Linked DNA regions of Macaca mulatta. Each later gene encodes a partner of the first gene's protein in a complex. Links are inferred from orthologs where the notes say so. Each region holds a gene or a part of one and is shown in the gene's direction. Other genes may lie near its edges.

The links. Proteins that work in one complex are often made in the same cells at the same time.
Region 2: SNRNP40 (region 1) and SNRPD3 share a complex: the UniProt entries of both Homo sapiens proteins name them as parts of the U4/U6-U5 tri-snRNP complex. The link is inferred for Macaca mulatta from reciprocal best matches to the Homo sapiens genes SNRNP40 and SNRPD3.

What each region holds. Positions count from the first base shown.
Region 1 is NC_133406.1:209,580,173-209,583,818, forward strand, and holds part of SNRNP40 (U5 small nuclear ribonucleoprotein 40 kDa protein), read left to right. Parts: intron 1-2,125; coding exon 2,126-2,248; intron 2,249-3,646. UniProt on the Homo sapiens protein: Required for pre-mRNA splicing as component of the activated spliceosome. Component of the U5 small nuclear ribonucleoprotein (snRNP) complex and the U4/U6-U5 tri-snRNP complex, building blocks of the spliceosome.
Region 2 is NC_133415.1:28,770,503-28,774,908, reverse strand, and holds the start of SNRPD3 (small nuclear ribonucleoprotein Sm D3), read left to right. Parts: upstream 1-1,554; 5' UTR 1,555-1,572; coding exon 1,573-1,698; intron 1,699-4,406. Other genes in the region: protein GUCD1, read right to left, coding at 1-125. UniProt on the Homo sapiens protein: Plays a role in pre-mRNA splicing as a core component of the spliceosomal U1, U2, U4 and U5 small nuclear ribonucleoproteins (snRNPs), the building blocks of the spliceosome.

The sequences.
Region 1 (3,646 bases):
GGCCACGCTGGTCTCGAACTCCTGACCTCAAGTGATCCATCCACCTCGGCCTCCCAAAATGCTGGGATTACAGGTGTGAGCTGTCACACCTGGCCTGTTTAGTGAATTTTTGAACTAATTTTGTAAAGTTTGTATTCTTTGTCCTGTGTTACCACTGAATTCTTTTTTTGTTAGCTTAGTGGTCAGCTAGTGAATGACAGAAGTTTCCTAAATTACCTACAACAACAAGAACAAAAGCTCTCCCAGTCTTTGCAGATTGTCTTTTGGTATGTTGGAGCCTGCCTTCAACTCCTTGCTGTGCAGTTTACATCTCTCCTTAGCTTTCACTTCCTGCTTGTGCAGAGCCTGAAGGTCAACCAGAGAGCTTATGGCCTTCTCAGATCTTTTCTAAGTATGTGCCCAGCCCTGGACATGCAAGTGGTCTAGATTGCCAGGGATGGGCCAGGCATGGTGGCTCATGCCTGTAATCTTAGCACTTTGGGAGGGCGAGGCAGACAGATCACTTGAGGCCAGGAGTGTGAGACCAGCCTGGTCAACATGGCGAAACCCTGTCTCTACTAAAAATACAAAAATTAGCTGGGTATAGTGGCACGCGCCTGTAATCCCACCTACTCGGGAGGCTGAGACAGGAGAATTGCTTGAGCCCGTGAGGTGGAGGTTGCAGTGAGCCGAGATCGCACCACTGCACTCCGGCCTGGGTGACAGAGGGAGACTCTGTAGGTAGGTAGGTAGGTAGGTAGGTAGGTAGGTAGATAGATAGATAGATAGATAGATAGATAGATAGATAGATAGATAGATAGATAGATAGATAGATAGATAAAGATAGATAGCCAGGAATATGTCGGTGCTTTTCAAAACTCTTACTCCCCAAATTGTCTCCTTCCCCAGCCCTTCCTCCCAAGGTTTTTGGTTTGTATTTTTGCCCCAACTGTTTTTCCTTGCCCCCAGGCACCAGAGGCTAATAATATCCTTTCCTTTAAATGTTTTCAAGGAAAGTTCCAAGTTAGACAAAATAAATATAAGTCCTGGCCGGGCGCGGTGGCTCACGCCTGTAATCCCAGCACTTTGGGAGGCCGAGACGGGCGGATCACGAGGTCAGGAGATCGAGACCATCTTGGCTAACACGGTGAAACCCCGTCTCTACTAAAAGTACAAAAAACCAGCCGGGCGAGGTGGCGGGCGCCTGTAGTCCCAGCTACTCGGGAGGCTGAGGCAGGAGAATGGCGTAAACCCAGGAGGTGGAGCTTGTAGTGAGCCGAGTTGGCGCCACTGCACTCCAGCCTGGGCGACAGAGCAAAGACTCCGTCTCAAAAAAATAAATAAATAAAAAAATAAATGTAAGTCCTTTGAGCTTATCCTTCAGGGAGCCACCAGGCAAGTAAAAATAAACAATTTTTATTGTTTATTCTTTGACAATAAGAAATAGGCCCCCCTTTGCTTCCTCAGTACTAGGACACCATACTGGGAATATGGGTTATCTTCAAAGCTGTTGCTGAGCGGGAGACAGAGCCAGCACAAGTTAAAACACTACAAAACCCTTTTACTGGGACTCAGGGGTTTTTTGTTTCCTTTTTCCTCATTAAGGGTTTGCCTGGTTACTATAAACTTTTGATTAGTTATGAGAATTCCGATAGTTGATTCTGACAGGTTTTTGCTGGTTCATTTGTTGTTTTGTGGAAGGACAAGCTTTTGTCATTGTTTATTATACTATTTTCACTGACGTACCCGCTCTCTATTTTTTTAAATGTGGGTTGCAGCCCACTAATGAATTAGTATCTACAGTTTGAAAAAATTGTCTGATATCCTTGTTGTCCTAAAAAATATATGAACCAAGTAATTAGTGGAATTCCATTCTAAGAGTATTTGATTTAACTCTGTTTATTCACTTTAACAAAGAAGTCTGAAAATATAACTGAAGTTTTGTTTCACCAGCCTTCAAATGTCTTGGCAAAATTGAGGACACTGCTTACCATGTGTGTTATTAGGATATCCAGGAGTTAGTGAAATGGGATCCCAATTATAGATGTGTTCATGTTCACAAAGTCCTTGTACTTAGGGATATTTGTACTGTGCAGTTACTTCTTAGAATGATATTAATGATAGACCCTGTTGTCCTTTGCTTCAGCTTTGGGACATCCGGAAGAAAGCAGCCATCCAGACATTTCAGAACACGTACCAGGTGTTAGCTGTGACCTTCAATGACACAAGTGATCAGATTATTTCTGGTGGAATAGACAATGATATCAAGGTATGTTTGATGTTTATGATATATTTCCATTTCACCCATCTGCACTTAGAAACAAATTTTTTCAAACTTCTGAAATTGTGGTAGCTTTGCACTTAATACCAACTGAAAGGAAAATAGTAATTTGGAACTTATTTTCTTTTTCTCCTGTCTTCATTGACTTCCTAAATTAAAGGTTGCATTGCAGATCTTATAAATGCTGTCAGGGACCAGGCACTTAATGTGAAGTGTGAAGTCTCTGTAGGGGGACTATGTAAAAAATAAAGAGTGCATTTCCTTTTAAAGACATTCAGAATCTTTTTTTAACCATCTTAGTTTAATGGGAGCAGTGAATCAGTTTGTGATTCTGTATCCTCATCTCTCACTGTGTTTTTCTTTTTGACACTATGGAAAGGGAGTTTTCTAAGTTTCTCTAAGAATGAGAGAAGGTAATGATATTAAAGAGGCAATAGACCATATGGCAGTACAGTGTAGCTCAAACTTTCAAGTAATTGACTTGAGTTCTAATCCCAGTTTCACCATTTTCTAGTTTTGTGACTTCAACACCTTCTTTAAGCCTCTTTTTCTTGTGTGAATGCTGAGGGGGTAGTGATAACAAAAACTACCACATGGCATCTACCACATACCATTGTGGCGATTAAATGAGCCTGATTGATTAGAGCACTTAGCAGAATTCCTGGACATAACAAGTGCCAGGAAATGTGTTATTTTGGTCCTGCACGGCTTCTGTCTTCCTTTCCTATTGGCTTCCTTGGGGATCTTAACGACTTTGACCTTACCTTCTGCTTTATAGTGAGAATAGTAACTGTCAGATAAATACTCAACTTTCTGTGTTGTCCTTTCCTAGAAGTTGTACTGTATTTCCATCCCTCGTTGTTTCCTTTGCTGTTACTTTGGATGAAATATCCTTGCTTTTGGCCAGGTGCGGTGGCTCACACCTGTAATCCCAACACTTTGGGAGGCTGAGGCAGGAGGATCACAGGGTCGGGAGACCAAGACCATCCTGGCCAACATGGTGAAACCCCGTCTCTACTAAAAATACAAAAATTAGCCGAGTGTGGTGGTGTGTGCCTGTAATCCCAGCTACTCCCAGTGAGCAGAGATCACGCCACTGCACTCCAGCCTGGCCATGGAGCAAGACTCCATCTCCAGAAATAAAGATAGTTTTTTTTGTTGTTGTTGTTGTTTTGAGTCTGTAGGCCAGGCTGGAGTGCAGTGGGGCTATCTCAGTTCGCTGCAACCTCTGCCTCCTGTGTCCCAGTTCAAGCAATTCTCCTTCCTCAGCCTCCTGAGTAGCTGGGATTACAGGCATGTGCCACCATGTCCAGCTAATTTTTGTATTTTTAGTAGAGACAGGGTTTTACCATGTTGGCCAGGCTTATCTTGAACTCCTGACCTCGT
Region 2 (4,406 bases), on another chromosome or scaffold:
AGGGGCCGGGGGCTGGAGAAAGACTCAATGCATGAACTCTGCGGGATTCGGGGAGGGAAGAAAGCGGGAAGTTTGGACCACCCAAACATCAGCGTCGCCTCACTAGCGCCTGGAAGTAAGTTCATTAGCTGCCCCCTCAATGTGCATGCTTCTTACATTCTGTATCTCTCCAGGTGAGTGTTTTTCAAAGTTTCCAGGCAGTAATCTTGAAGTCATTTCCTATGAGTTTTTTGAATCTTGAAGTCAAATCCTATGAGGGTTTTTTTTTTTTTTTTTTTTTTTAAAGTAGAGACGGTTTCACCATGTTACCCTGGCTGGTCTCGAACTCCTGGGCTCAAGGGATCCACCGGCTTCGTCCTTCAAAAGTGTTGGGACTACGGGCGTGAGCCATCGCGCCCAGCCGGTCATTTTTTAAAAAGTTCTTTGCATCTCTGCCCCCAGCTCCCTTTCAGGCAGTGGTCCCGTCATGCTTTCCACACTGTTGCAGCAGTTTTAACTGTTGCAGAAATTTTAACAAGTTTCTCTGCTTCTAAACCTTACGTTAGATCCATTTTGTAAATAAATGCTGCTACCTTTTCATTGTGTCATTCTTTACCTATAATTTTGCAGTGGTTCCCCACTATCTTCAGCATAAAATCTAGGCTCCTAAGGCTGAAAGCCAGGGATCCTCACCAAAGGAGCCTGTCTTTTCAACCTCATGTTCTCCTGTCTTAGGTGCACTTAGGTTCCAACTTTGAGTCGTCGCTCATGTCAATAAAAAGTTCACTACTTGATGCTTTTAATTAGGTCAAGTCAGGTGCTTTCCCTTATTTTCCTCCATGACGGGCATTTCCTGCATATAGCACGTTGTCACTTTGATATTTTCTCAATATCCTTGATGGTAAAGTAAGGGAAGGGTTAAAGAGCTGCATTAAAAGTACAGTCTCCTCTCCTAGATATGCATGGTCCTTAGGTCTGTATCTGCTCCTTCCGTAGGGTAGCCACCAGCTACATGTAGCTGTTGAGCACTTGGAATATGGCCACTGGGATTGAGGGACTGGGTTTTTTATTTTAATTCTATTGTGTTTTAGTTAAGTTTAATTTAAATAGCTACATGTGGACATGAGCTACTGTATTGGACAGCTCAGGCCTGTGTTATGATTGTCAAAATGTAATAATCTACAATTAAGGGTTGACAAATAACAGTGCAACAGATTAACATTCCAATCCCCCTCCCCTACACACACAGTATTCGCTAATGGTCCTTTAGCTGAAGATTAAGGGACATAGGGTAGCAGGGACACATGGTCGATGGGAGATGCTCTCTTTTCATTCCTGTTTTTACTTCTGTCCACCCCACCATTCCTCCTCACCCGACATCTTGCACATATTTGCCAGATAGTTTCCTCCAAGCCAGGAGCTGAGCTTTCTTTTTTCTTTTTCTTTGATAGAAAATGCAGCTTTGGCGTTTTTGCTAAGTTTTATGGAGTGCCAGGCCTTGAAGGAGGCATGACGTGTGCCGCATGCCTTCTCAGACTCTGAAAGATGAACTGACTGTTGTCTCTTTCACTGTAGAGCTCTCTTCCTGCCAAGATGTCTATTGGTGTGCCAATTAAAGTGCTGCACGAGGCCGAGGGCCACATTGTGACATGTGAGACGAACACCGGTGAGGTATATCGGGGGAAGCTCATTGAAGCAGAGGACAACATGAACTGCCAGGTATTCTGCTTTGCATGTGAGGCTGTGTGGGAGGAATGGCCCTGTGTCTTGAAGGACAGAAAGGTGTGGGTTGGGGGTCTTCTGTAAATTGTTCTCATTCAGCAGTGATTTCCTGAGTGCCTAACACATACCAGTCAGGTGCTGTTATAGGCTCTGGGGATGTGGGCATGAACAAAACACATAGTCTTGAGGCAGAAAAGCCATTTGGAGATTTGGAATATTTTACTTCGCCTTTTTTGTTTTTTCCATCCCCAAATTTGGGGACCTGTTTGGGAGAAGTTCCTTCAGTAGAATCCTTCAGGTTCAGAGCCATTATCCATTTGCCTCCACTTGCTTTGCAGTTAGGAGAATCTTCTCACATACTGTGTTTGTTTCCCTTTTCTCTTGGAGGAGGAGTCTCATTTGATTATTGCAACTACCTTGTGAGGTAAGCAGGTTTGGTGGTAGTCTTGTCATCCATAAAATAGGGAGAATGAGATTAAAGGACTCATCACTCTGATAGTAAATAATGGAGTAGTTTCTTGATACGGTGTCCTTCTCATGGCGCAGCTTTGCCTTTTGCATAGTCATCTGAATTTTTATAGCATTGTTTTTCAGTTGTATCTTCACACTTTCTTTGTTCTTTAAACCATTGGTTAAGAACTTGGACTTGGGAGTCAGAGAGAGATGTGGGTTTGATTCCTAATTATATGACCTTAGATGTATTAATCACTCAGTTTTCTCATCTGTAAAACGGGAGTGTTATTATTTTGGGTTCTTTGATGTAGATGCCAAGACAGAATTATGCAAGGTATTTATTGGGGGAAATGACAATAAAGGATAAAGGAACAAGGAAACAGTAGTAGGCAGGGAAATTTTCAGTCCGTGATGCTGGTCTGACTGGTGAAACGAGAGGGGAAAGAAGGAGGATTGAGCAGGAAGAACCTTAGACTACAGTGTAGTTTTGAGGAAGTCTCAGCAAGGCAGTGATTGCTCATTAGAAGAATCTAACATGGGGCAGAAATGGGCAGACTGGCACCCCTGGTGTGTTCATTCCATTGGCTGGCAGCCTGGGGAGACAGTCTCTCTCCCCAAGTTGAATGCCATGGTGGACTGCAAAGATGGAGATTGTCGGCTGCCTTCACTCCTCATAGCCTGTTTTCTTTTGGAGGGAGATCTGAGCAGCACACCCTTAAGACTGCCACAGGGATAATATCCACACCCCCAGGACTTTTACAAAGATCAGATGAGCTATATGTGTGCAATAGCTGCTCGGTGCCTCACATACTGTAAGTGTTCAACGTATGGTGTTTACTGCTTTTTTCCAGATGAGAAGGTCAGAGAGGTAAAGCGTCTTACACCACGGTCAGGTATCCTGACCATCTATTGGTTTGCGCCATTCATTTATTTGTGATTTTTCTGTAGCTTTGAGCGTCTATCATCTTCCTGCGAGGTTGACAAGCTTGGTCAGTTCCCTGGATGCAGAGAAGTAGACCTCTGGTGACTCAGGTTTATTGCATCATTGTCAATAGATCAGTTTATCTATTGACAGTAGATAGGTTTATCATCTCTCTTTCATATATCCAGACCTCTGGCTTAAGGCATGCTCATCCACTTTAAGGTACTTTAATTTGGTGAGGAGAATGCAGGACTTGGGTTAGTGAATCTTAATGGGTTTGTCATCTAGCTATATGTATTTGGACAACCTGCTGGGTTTCCAGGGCCTTTGTCATCCCATCCATAACATGAAGGTGTCTAACCAGATAACCTCGGTGGCCATTCAGAGATGCAGTCCACGTGACACAAAGTGCACAGAACTTGGAGTCAGACAGACCTGGAATCAGCTTGCAGCCTGCCACCTAGGGTGACTTGGGGTGAGCTTTGGACCTCCTTCGTCCTCTGGTCCCTCTTCTAAGTCAGGGATAAAAATAGCTCCTTGGCTTCAGAAGGAACCATAGTGCAGAAGAAATGAGTAGATGCATGTCACATGCCTGACCAATGGTGGGGGGGCAGCCACCTGCCTCCCTGCTTGTATTTGTATGCTAGTGCTGCCAATAACAAAGTTTCACAGATTGGGCAGCTTAGACAACACAAATTTGTTTTCTCCTAGATCTGAAGGCTGGAAGTCTGAGATCAAGGTGTTGGCAAGGCTGATTTCTTCTGAGGGATGTGAAGGAAGGATCTGTTCCAGGCCTCTCTCCTTACTTATAGATGACTCTCTTCTCCCTGTGTCTTCACTTGGTCTTCACTCTGTAGTGTTTCTGTCTAGATCTCTTCTTATAAGGATACCAGGCATGTAGAAATAGGGCCCACTCTAATGACTTTTCTTAACATAAAGTTTTTTTTTTAATAAAGTTTTTTTTTTTTTTTTTTGAGATGGAGCCTTGCTCTGTCGCCCAGGCTGGAGTGCAGTGGCGCGATCTTGGCTCACTGCAACCTCCGCCTTCCAGGTTCAAGCGATTCTCCTGCCTCAGCCTCCCAAGTAGCTGAGACTACAGGCACCTGCCACCATGTCAGCTAATTTTTGTATTTTTAGTAGAGACGGGTTTCACCATATTGGCCAGGCTGGTCTCGAACTCCTGACCTTGTGGTCCACTTGTCTCAGCCTCCCAAAGTGCTGGGACTACAGATGTGAGCCACCATGCCCGGCTTGCCTTTTTTTTTTTTTTTTTTTTTTTTGTGAGACAGAGTCTCACTCTGTTGTCCAGGCTGGAGTGCAGTGGCACAAT